Linked DNA regions of Canis lupus familiaris. The protein of the gene in region 1 purifies or fractionates together with the protein of each later gene. This does not show direct contact. Links are inferred from orthologs where the notes say so. Each region holds a gene or a part of one and is shown in the gene's direction. Other genes may lie near its edges.

Evidence for each region. Proteins that work in one complex are often made in the same cells at the same time.
Region 2: the proteins of CDK4 (region 1) and CEBPA purify together in Homo sapiens (affinity purification with western blotting; 3 studies listed by BioGRID, with this or other methods). This does not show direct contact. The link is inferred for Canis lupus familiaris from reciprocal best matches to the Homo sapiens genes CDK4 and CEBPA.
Region 3: the proteins of CDK4 (region 1) and CCNA2 purify together in Homo sapiens (affinity purification with western blotting; 3 studies listed by BioGRID, with this or other methods). This does not show direct contact. The link is inferred for Canis lupus familiaris from reciprocal best matches to the Homo sapiens genes CDK4 and CCNA2.

What each region holds. Positions count from the first base shown.
Region 1 is NC_049231.1:2,167,162-2,170,905, reverse strand, and holds the start of CDK4 (cyclin-dependent kinase 4), read left to right. Parts: upstream 1-1,146; 5' UTR 1,147-1,347; intron 1,348-1,819; 5' UTR 1,820-1,838; coding exon 1,839-2,056; intron 2,057-2,189; coding exon 2,190-2,325; intron 2,326-2,441; coding exon 2,442-2,609; intron 2,610-2,743; coding exon 2,744-2,853; intron 2,854-3,113; coding exon 3,114-3,164; intron 3,165-3,309; coding exon 3,310-3,445; intron 3,446-3,687; coding exon 3,688-3,744.
Region 2 is NC_049222.1:119,691,241-119,694,984, forward strand, and holds the start of CEBPA (CCAAT/enhancer-binding protein alpha), read left to right. Parts: upstream 1-1,368; 5' UTR 1,369-1,453; coding exon 1,454-2,282; intron 2,283-2,321; coding exon 2,322-2,623; 3' UTR 2,624-3,744. UniProt on the Homo sapiens protein: Transcription factor that coordinates proliferation arrest and the differentiation of myeloid progenitors, adipocytes, hepatocytes, and cells of the lung and the placenta.
Region 3 is NC_049240.1:19,143,313-19,147,056, forward strand, and holds the start of CCNA2 (cyclin-A2), read left to right. Parts: upstream 1-1,327; 5' UTR 1,328-1,612; coding exon 1,613-1,825; intron 1,826-2,601; coding exon 2,602-2,845; intron 2,846-3,744. UniProt on the Homo sapiens protein: Cyclin which controls both the G1/S and the G2/M transition phases of the cell cycle. Functions through the formation of specific serine/threonine protein kinase holoenzyme complexes with the cyclin-dependent protein kinases CDK1 or CDK2.

The sequences.
Region 1 (3,744 bases):
TCCCCTAAAGGGCTAGGAAATAAGGAAAGTCAGAGGAACCTGTCTATTGTCGACCTAAGTGTCTGTGAGCAGAAGCAATTTGGGAAAGTCCAAGTTCTGGGCGGGAGCAAGGACTAAGAAAGCTCGCACCGGGGGAAAGAGGGAAGCAGAACGACCCCAAACAAGGAGTCACAGGGTTTGTGGAAGAGCACAAATCATTCTCACGCAGTGCTGAGGTCCAAGGTGGTGGTGGAGGTAACCTCCCTGCACACGCTCACTCCTGTATCTGTCCATCTGTACACAATGTGTAAAATACCCACACATACACAAACGCGCATATCATTGCCTCTCCCTGTTGCAAAGAACCTTGCAGGTTAAGTGTTTCTGTCTCTTGCTCATTGGTAATTTCTCCGCCAGAAAGCACCGTCTTATTTTAACGCTCCCTGGAAGAGGTGGAAGTTGGAAAGATGGGAGGGCATCACCTTGACACTCCTCCGGTTGGGTCACTGCATTAGTGTGCCTTCCGTCAGTCCGTTAGTGCTGGCTGTGCCCTGAGATGGGTATTGTCCCCACCGGGGGCTACGTCTTTCCAGACAGCCCCATCACTCCTTTAAAGGGCCAGCGACTGAGACACCGGAAAAAAAAAACCCGCATGCACACAGGAAGCGAGCACTCGGTAAAAATTTGTTGAATGAGCCAATGAATGAAACAAAGACACAAACGAGACCAGGTCTCCCCGCGGCAGTGAGGCCGAAAGGCTCCAGCGCCCGTCCCGCCCCCGCCTCGTCTCCAGCTCCCTGACCGCCGCGCACAGAGGGAGGCGCGGAGCGAGGAGCGAGCGCCAGAAGCGCTCAGGCGCGGCCTGCAGCTCGGCCCTGGAGCCGGGTGGCCCGGGTTGCCATGGCACCGCCCTGGACTCCACCCTCCCCCGTCTCCCCGCACCCCCGCCGGGTCTGGCAGTCGGTCACGTGCCCCGCCGCGTAGCCACACCTCTGCTCCTCCGAGCGGAGTCGGGCGGTCACGTGTGATAGCAACAGATCACGTGGCCGCCGTCGCCCCGCCTGCCCTCTCCCCTCCCCGCCCGCTTCCCGGCCGAGGCCGCTCTGGCCGCCCCTCTGCGCACGCGCGGCTCGTCACGTGGCCCGAACGTCCGGCTTTCGCCCCGCCCCGCCAGTTTCCGCGCGCCTCTTTGGCAGCTGGTCACATGGTGAGGGTGGGGGTGCGGGGGCCGCTCTAGCTTGCGGCCTGTCTATGGTCGGGCCCGGAGCGTCCAGCTGCCCCGGACAGAGCTCCTGTGTATGGCGCCGCAGGCTCTGGCTCCGGGGCCCCGATAACGGGCCGCCCCCGCAGCACCCGGCGCCGAGTGAGGTGAGCGTGGCGCCTTCCCGGGGACGGGACCGCTGTCGCCCTCGCGTCTGCCTACGCGGGCAGGTTACGGGAGGGTCGCTCGAGGGCGGGAAGTGCGGCCCGCGCAAAGTTCCTTTGTGGTCAGCTGGGATGTAATGGTAGGGACGGATGTCGAGTCTTCGATGCAGGGGGTGTGTCGTGTGCGGTCTGCCCCGTGCGGGGCGCGACGGCCCGTCCCCGAGGAAGAGGAATTCTTTCTTTGAGGGATTCACGTTTATATTTAAGGCGTGGGTTAAATAACCCCCCCTGGCGGGGTTGGGGTTAGAGCCATTGTGTCAGCTGAGGAGCCAGCCTCACGGAACTGGGGAGAGGGACGGGGTGGTGGAGGGGGGGTCTTTGTGATGCCTTGTGGGGGAGTCACCTCGTTGCGGCAGGCTCATACCACCTGAACTCTTGAGGGATTTTCGGTGGCAGGAGGCTTTTGTGATTGTAGGGTCTTCTCTGATCCGAGAATGGCTACTCCTCGGTACGAGCCAGTGGCTGAGATTGGGGTTGGTGCCTATGGAACGGTGTACAAGGCCCGTGATCCGCACAGCGGCCACTTCGTGGCCCTCAAGAGCGTTAGAGTCCCTAATGGAGGAGGTGCCGGAGGGGGCCTTCCCATCAGCACAGTTCGTGAAGTGGCATTGCTGAGGCGGCTGGAGGCTTTTGAGCATCCCAACGTTGTCCGGTGAGAAGGTGGGGGGTGGGGAGTGGGTAGTAAAGGGGAAAAGACAACTTGTAGGTGGGGATTCTGGGGAAATGGGGAAGGCCGCATCGGGTCCAGAGGGATTGATCAGTGAGTGACCACTTGTTCTGGCCAGGCTAATGGACGTCTGCGCCACTGCCCGAACCGACCGGGAGACCAAAGTGACCCTGGTGTTTGAGCACGTGGACCAAGACCTGAGAACGTACCTGGACAAGGCACCCCCACCGGGCTTGCCAGTGGAGACCATCAAGGTGAGTAGGGTGGGTGGACACTGAGGAGTAGATTGAGACCTTTGTGGCAGAACCTGCTGTGATTTCAGGTATGGTGCCTAGTTCCAGGTCCTCTGTTCTTCCCCCTTCTAAACCAGGATCTGATGCGCCAGTTTCTAAGAGGCCTAGATTTCCTTCATGCCAACTGCATCGTTCACCGAGACCTGAAGCCCGAGAACATTCTGGTGACCAGTGGTGGGACAGTCAAGCTGGCTGACTTTGGCCTGGCCAGAATCTACAGCTACCAGATGGCACTTACGCCTGTGGTCAGTAGCAAGAGGGGAGTAGGAGAGGGGTTGACCGTAGCAGTTGAGAAGTCGGGCACTTTGTGACTTTAGTCAACCAGTTATGGTTCATGGTAACCCATGGGGTCTTCATCCACTTTTCTTGTTCCTATTAGGTTGTTACACTCTGGTATCGTGCTCCAGAAGTTCTTCTGCAGTCTACGTATGCAACACCCGTGGACATGTGGAGTGTCGGCTGTATCTTCGCAGAGATGTTTCGTCGCAAGTATGGGACCCAAGCATCCTGAACTATTTTGAGTTTCCCAAACCAAATCTCTTAGTCATAGATCACATCCATTTCCTGCCCAATCTTTCACTTAAGTATTGTTGACTGTTCTGTCCCTAACCAGAAACTCTGAAATGTCCCAAAGTTAGGAACTTCACATCCCTGTATTCCCCCACACTCTCTGTTTTGAGCCATTACCTACCAGTAATTATTCCACTACTGTATCTTTGGACATGACTTCTGTGTTTTTTCCACCTTAGGCCTCTCTTCTGTGGAAACTCTGAAGCTGACCAGTTAGGCAAAATCTTTGAGTAAGTGACCAGCATGAGGGGAGAAAAAAAAAACTTTCCATTCCAAATCTTTTTTCTGCTGAGCCCCACATGGCAGTTGGCTCTGCCCCTGGAGATGTGGGCTAGAGAAAGACCCTCTTGACCAGAGCTCTCCTGTTCCCCATAGTCTGATCGGGCTGCCCCCAGAGGATGACTGGCCCCGAGATGTGTCTCTGCCCCGAGGAGCCTTTTCCCCTAGAGGGCCCCGTCCAGTACAGACAGTGGTACCTGAGATGGAGGAGTCTGGAGCACAGCTGCTGCTGGTACTGGGCGTGGGCACGGGCACAGGCTGAGGATGGGGTGGAAGACCGAGCACTAGCATTGCGGTTACTAAGACTTGGTTGGTGGATGGGCTAGTTTTTACTGGCGCCAGTGAATAGGCCATCCATAAAGAGGGATGTAGAAAATAGCCCATCCTAGGTATTGTTGGGGGTGAGCGGAAGTCTTTTTCTTTTTTTTTTTGTTTTGTCTTCATGACCTTTTGATCTTTGCCTCCCCTTCTCAGGAGATGCTGACTTTTAACCCACACAAGCGAATCTCTGCCTTCCGAGCCCTGCAGCAC
Region 2 (3,744 bases), on another chromosome or scaffold:
CACCTTGGGGGGGGGGGGGGAGGTCCTGGCCTGCGCAGCCCGGCTCTCCCCAAACGGGCACACCTCCAACCGGCGCCCGGGCGGTGTCGGGCTTCGGCGCACTAAGTCTTAAGGGGCGCTGCGGGGGAGGTAGAGGCAGCGGCGACCTGCGGGCCCCGGGGTGCGCCCCCGCCCCCCCGCCGCCGCCCGCGGTCCCGGGATAGAGCCGCGAGGCGCCACGTGGCTGGGGAGACGCGCTGCCTTAACCCCCAGCTCCAGCAGCGAATGCGGAGGCGGCGGCCAAGGGGACCCGGCCTGGCCACCTCGTTCCCCAGGATCCCGGGACCCAGCGCCCTGCGAGCCGCGGGCAGGGCCCTCCCGAGGTCCCCGAGGTCCCCGAGGTCCCCGAGCCCCGGCTCCCGCCCCGGAGCCCACCGGAACTGGGGCGGAGGTGCGGGGCGCGGGGGCAGAGGCTCCCGAGCCCGGGGTCCCCGTCCCGGCTCAGCTCGGCGTCCTCCGTCTGCGCGCCCCGCCTGGCCGCGGAACCCCGGCCCTGGGCTCCAGCTCCAGGCACGGCGCCAGCCCCGCGCGCCCAGCCTCCCGCGCCTCGGGCCGGGGCAAGTCCTGGAAAAGAAAAAGTTGTCCTGCCCCGCGGACCCGCCGGCCGCGTCCTCCCGCTCCCCGCGGCCGCCGCCTGCCTCGCCTCCGCGCCCCGCGCGGTCCTAGCGCCCGGCGCCGCCAGCCCGGGGACCCCGCAGGACGCGGCGGGCGGGGACCGGCTCCTGCGCGGCCTCGGCGGGGCGGCCCGAGGTCAGGGAGGGGGACGCGGAGCCGCCGCGCGCCGGGCGCTCCCCTCGGCCTCCCGGCCGGCTCCGGCCCCCTCCCCGCGCCGCCGCCCAGCCGACACCGGGGCCCCGGCGGGGCCACTGGGAGCTCTGAGAGCGAGTCCCGCGGCGGTGGCTCAGGCCGCAAGCCCGGCCCCCGGCCCCCCGGCCCCCCCGCCCCCACCGCGCGCCGCGCCTGGGCGCTCCCGGACTCCCCGGCCGCCGGCTGGAAGTGGAGCCCCGGGGCAGCCCGAGGAGGGGGCCCGGTCCCCGGCCACGTGCGTGCGGGGGCGACGGCTCGGCCCAGGGCGGGGCGCGCGCGCGTCCGGGTCGGGCCGGCGGGGCCGGGGCAGGGGGCGCCGCGCCGGGGCCCCTCCCGCCCGCGCCGCGCTGCGGCCCCGCTCGCCTCCCCCGCCGGCGGCCCGGCGCTAGGACCCAGGAGGCGCCGCCGCTCCGTCGGGCTCCGCAGGGCGCCGCCCCCGGTATAAACGCGGGCCCCGCGCGGGCCTGGCCATTCGCGACCGGAGCTGCGCGGGCGCGAGGCGGCGGGGCCCGGGGCTCGGGGGCGGCGGCGGCGGCGGCGGCGTTGGCGCCCCGCGCGGGCTGGAGGCCGCCGAGGCGCGCCATGCCGGGAGGGCTGTAGCTCCCCCATGGAGTCGGCCGACTTCTACGAGGCGGAGCCGCGGCCCCCGATGAGCAGCCACCTCCAGAGCCCCCCGCACGCGCCCAGCAGCGCCGCCTTCGGCTTCCCCCGGGGCGCGGGCTCCGCGCAGGCCCCCGCCCCACCTGCCGCCCCGGAGCCGCTGGGCGGCATCTGCGAACACGAGACGTCCATCGACATCAGCGCCTACATCGACCCGGCCGCCTTCAACGACGAGTTCCTGGCCGACCTGTTCCAGCACAGCCGGCAGCAGGAGAAGGCCAAGGCGGCCGCGGCCCCCGCGGGCGGCGGCGGCGGCGGCGGCGGCGGCGGCGGCGGCGGCGGCGACTTCGACTACGCGGGCGCCCCCGGGGGCCCCGGCGGCGCGGCGATGCCCGGCGGCGCGCACGGCCCGGCTCCCGGCTACGGCTGCGCGGCGGCCGGCTACCTGGACGGCAGGCTGGAGCCGCTGTACGAGCGCGTCGGGGCGCCGGCGCTGCGGCCGCTGGTGATCAAGCAGGAGCCGCGCGAGGACGACGAGGCGAAGCAGCTGGCGCTGGCCGGCCTCTTCCCCTACCAGCCGCCGCCGCCGCCGCCGCCGCACCCGCACCCGCACCCGCACCCGCACGCGCACGCGCCGCCCGCGCACCTGGCCGCCCCGCACCTGCAGTTCCAGATCGCGCACTGCGGCCAGACCACCATGCACCTGCAGCCCGGCCACCCCACGCCGCCGCCCACGCCCGTGCCCAGCCCTCACCCGGCGCCCGCCCTCGGCCCCGCGGGCTTGCCGGGCCCCGGCGGCGCGCTCAAGGCGCTGGCCGCCGCGCACCCCGACCTCCGCGCGGCGGGCGGCGGCGGAGGCGGAGGAGGCGGCGGAGGAGGCGGCGGAGGCGGAGGAGGCGGAGGCGGCGGCGCGGGCAAAGTCAAGAAGTCGGTGGACAAGAACAGCAACGAGTACCGGGTGCGGCGCGAGCGCAACAACATCGCCGTGCGCAAGAGCCGGGACAAGGCCAAGCAGCGCAACGTGGAGACGCAGCAGAAGGTGCTGGAGCTCACCAGTGACAATGACCGCCTGCGCAAGCGGGTGGAACAGCTGAGCCGCGAGCTGGACACGCTGCGGGGCATCTTCCGCCAGCTGCCCGAGAGCTCCCTGGTCAAGGCCATGGGCAACTGCCCGTGAGGCGCGGGGCGGCCGCCCGCTGGGACCCCGGGCGTGGATTCGTGGAGTCGGGCTCGGCTCGGGATCTCCAGGCTGCCCCCCGCGGCGCAGGCCCGGCCTGGGAGGCCCCGGCCCGCCGATTCGGTGCGCCCAGGACGGGGGTCAGGCCGGGCCTTCTCCCCGAAGGAGGGAAGCGCCGTGGGGCCGAGCCGAGCCCGAGCCCGAGCCCGAGCCTGGCAACTCTAGTATTAAGGATAACCTCGTGCCTTGGAAACGCAAACTCGCCGCTCCGATTCCTACCGAGTAGGGGGAGCCGATAGGTGCCTTGTCATTTTATTCGGAGGGTTCCTGCCGCACCCCGAGGTGCAGGCCCCCCACCCCCACCCCCACCCCCGGGGAGAGAGGGCAGCGTGCAGGCCCGCGGCTGCTCCAAGGGTCAGGATCTCTCGGCGCCCGTCCTCGGAAGGGAGGACATACAGGGACTTGGAAGGTCGTTACCCTAGTTCTACATGAAGGTGGCGGGTCCCTAGCTCCCTGCCCTCCAGTCTCCCAGCCTGTCACGGGCTGGGCTTCCCTGGGCAGAACTCACTGAGATGGGGGTCACCGGGTGACCGGCGGGAGCCCCTCCACCCCCACCCCCGGTCAGGCCAGGGCAGGCCAAAGCTATCTGGATACGTGTTCGTGGGAGTGGTAGCCTGGTGGCAGAGGGAAACCTAGAGATCTGGCCCCGGGGTGGGGGTGGGAGTGGGGCGGGGAGGTGGGGTGAAGGGACACTGGGACCATCAGCCTTGTACTGTATGTTGCCAGCATTGCCATACAAACATGAAGCACAATCTGTCCATCCCAGAGGGACCGAAGTTATGAGAAGCTTTCCAAATATTTTGCTTTATCAGCCGATATCAACACTTGTATCTGGCCTCTCTGTGTCCCAGCGGTGCCTTGTGCAATGTGAATGTGCACGTCTATGCTAAACCACCATTTTATTTGGTTTTTGTTTTGTTTTGGTTTTGCTCAGATACTTGCCAAAATGAGACTCTTTGTCAGCAGCTGCAGGGAGGGTCTGCGGCTCTCTTTCCTTTTGGTTTTGGGGGATCGCTTTTGCTCCCAGGGGAACCAAAGAGGTGAGGTGGGCTTCCTCTTTC
Region 3 (3,744 bases), on another chromosome or scaffold:
CTCTGGGCCGGAAGGCAGCGCTAAACCACTGAACCACCCAGGGATCCCCCAATTTGCAACTGATTTCACTCTTGCTAGGTAATGTTTTGTGACCCGTGCTCAGTTTGTGAGCTTGAGTATGCTCAGTGCTATAAATTTTGGCCAGGGAAATGAGCAGAGCTGCACAGATTGAAGGGATCTTCACTTGCTGTCCTATAACCAGTAGAACTGTACAAGGCTACTACATGTGAATAGTGCAGAAATAGTGATGGCCTCTTAGATTTTCCTGCACTAGTGTCCACTGACTTGTTTTATCATGTAGAGAGGGAAATAAGACTTTAAAGCTACAGAAGTTTTATTCACTAATGTTAATTCATGTTTCTTCATACTCAGGAGAATATTGTGTTTGAAGATTGTTTTAAAATGGCGTAAAGATTATATAATCATGTTTTTAAGAAGGGCATCCTCATGAATTTGTCAGAAAACAAGGTCTCTTAATTCTTTACCATTATATTAATATATGCAAGCCTTGTTTATTAAATCTGAGAACTTGTTAAAGGCACATATCACTGAGAGTTTTATTTTAAAAGGTCATGTTGTTTTTATTTAAACAGCCTTCATTGCCAAATGGAACAAAATTCTGTATCTATGTCACTAGAAATTTCACTGGGTGCTTTTTGTTGGCTGGCACAGCTGGGAAAAGCATCAAAATTAGTGACTGTCTAGTTGAGTTTCTTCCAGTACATTACTATTTGTTTATATATATGTATCAACAGTAGTTAAGGTAGCACCTACCTAATCACATCTTCATGAGGTGAATTCGGAAGCATGACTGAAGAAACCCCTAAATGATACATGACAGTACAGTCCACACTCGAGGATCAGTAAGCAAGCATGTTAATGATTTACGCACATTACATAATCACAACAGCCATACGACATGTAGCATTTTACCCCCAATTAATAGATGAGAACACTGAGAATCAGAGACGTGTCATCACGGGGCCCGCCTACCAGGCCGGTTCGCGGCTGGGTCGGATCCGAGCTTGGGAGACCAGTCAGTCCAGCCAACTGAGGGCCCCACGGCCAGCGTTAGGCAGGCGCGGCCACTAACAATTGCTGGGGTTTGACTCCGTCGGTCCTAGAGACAGCCGCGGCCCAGCACCCTCGGGTCACCAAGTGGCCCAGTTTAGTCACTAGAAGTTCAGGCCCCGCCTCTTTGGCCGGCGCAGGCGTTTTCCCTCCCGCCGCCTTTCGGCGTTTCTCCGCCCCCGCTCCGTGGCCTTCACGGCTTCCTTCATTTGTCTGCGACCGTGTCGCCTTGAGTGACGTCAGGGGCATCGGCCCTTCCCATTGGCCCATTTCAATAGTCGCGGGATACTTGAACTGCACGAACAGCCGCCGCTCCGGCGGGCTGCTCGCTACATCTCGGGGGCGTCTTGAGCCCTCCACGCCCGGCAGTTCCTGCCTGAGCCTTTCGCAACGTCCTCGGAGCTGCGCGATCCCGAGCGAGCAGGCTGGCCCGGACTGCCGCGGGCGGCTGCGGCTGGAGCGTTTCTCGGCGGGGTCGGCGGGACGCAGTACACGCTGCTTGGCGCCGCAGGCTGATCCCGCCGCGACCCGGGGAGCAGTGATGTTGGGCAGCTCGGAGCCTGGGCCTGAGGCCCGCGAGGCGGGCTCGTCGCTGCTAACGTTGCAGCATACGGCGCTCCAAGAGGACCAGGAGAACATCAACCCCGAGAAGGCGGCGCCCGCCCAGCAGCCCCGGACCCGGGCCGGGTTGGCGGTCCTGAAGGCCGGGAACCAGCGCGTCCCAGCGCCGCAGCAGAGGCCCAAGACACGGCGGGTAAAGAGATGAACGATATCTGCAGGCGAGGAGGGCCGAGCGGGAGTTTTGCACGAGGTTTGAGCAGGCCGGGGAGCGTGGCGAGAAAGCATCTTCCGAGCTGTTGTAAGGGAGGCCTGGGTCTGCAGTCCCCTTGATGCCTAGTGTTCTGGCGCGGGGGATGCCACGTAAATCTTTCCCATAGCTCTCTTCGCCAGCGCTGTGTGTTTTGCTCCCTGTCTGCTCTTTATTTGGTATATTTTCCGATAGAATATGAGGGTCAGACCGAGCACCACGACGTATGTCCGCGCTTTCTTCGCCGCTTTAAACCCCAGGCACTGCCCTAGGATCTGGACCCCCTTCCTGCTCGCCATTTGGTTAAGATTACCTTTACTTTAGGAAAGAGTATAAAAAATAATTTTTTTTTACTAAATTCCGCCATTTTACCGGATTTGCTCTGTTGCTCCACCCTGGGGCCAAAGCGGTGAACCAACACCTCTTTGCCGGCTCTCCTAAACTTGTCATCATTCAGCCTGCTACCCCACTCCTCTTGTGGCCTTGATTAGTTTTGCATAAATGCATTTAGTGTGATTCTATAACTTATGTAGAAATGCCGCTAACGAACTTGAACATCCCTTTCTTCAGCTATTCAAACTTTACTGCCTGGATTTTGTCCCAGATAGTTTAATTTCCTTAGAGTATTTGGGAGTGAAAACAGAAACTGAGAACCGTAAGGGGAAGAAAGCAAGCAGAACTCCATTTAATAGGCTCAAAGCTAGCTATTCATTTCTTTTTAGGTTGCACCTCTTAAGGATCTTCCTATAAATGATGAACAAGTCACTATTCCTCCCTGGAAAGCAAACAGTAAACAGCCTGCATTTACCATTCATGTGGATGAAACAGAAGAAGAGACTCAGAAGAGGCCAGCTGAATCTAAAAAAACAGAACATGAAAATGTCCTGGCTTTTAATTCAGCTATTACTCTACCTGGACCAAGAAAACCGCTGGTACCTCTTGATTATCCAATGGATGGTAGTTTTGGTAAGTTTTAAAGAACATCTGTATCAAATCAATGTAATCCTAAAGTGATTATGGATTAATGATAGTTTCATTTTAAGACATTATTTTACCTGACCCTTACTATATAATGAATTTGGTGTAATGTAACAAAGTTTAGAAAGGGTATGATTCATCTCCGATCTCACAGCTCATACATTGACCTAGTGACCTATAAATCCTAACTGGGTGCTCCTTCCTTCCCATATTACTGCCAATCACATCAATTTAATTAGATCTCAAACCCTTATTTTAATCTGACCCTGGAAATATTTGCCTGCTTGGGAGAATAGATTTGAACCGTATTCATAAACTCACTGTGTACATACCACTTACGAGAGTATTTGAATAGGATACAGCTTTCAATATTGTGATATCTAACATCTCTTACAGCTTAAAATTTTCTGTAAATCCAGTCTGATACCAGAGAGGGACACTGTCCTCCTGTGAGGCAAGAGTTGAATCATGACTGCAGCTAACCACATATAAAATGAAGTAGCTGCTATAAAGCAAGCTCTGCCAACAGTTTATGCGTGCAACTTCTTTACCATACATAGATAGGTCTGTTGAGTCACTGGATAATTCATTCGTTTCATCTCATTTAGGTTTTAGTTCTGAGAAGTGGTCTGGGAATAGCAGGAAAATCCTTTGGAAATAAAGTAATTTTTGTATTTTTCTTGAAAATTTATAACAAACTTTAACCTTACAATGAAACTTGAAAAGAGTAATGAATGATATTCTTTGCCTCAAAAAGTAATTTAAAATTACAAAACATGAAACATTTGGTGATTATAGTGTTAATTTGTTTGAATTGCTCATAACAAACCTAATTTTAATTAACATTAACCCTGCTTTTAGTTATTGCTACATTGTTCTTTGAATAT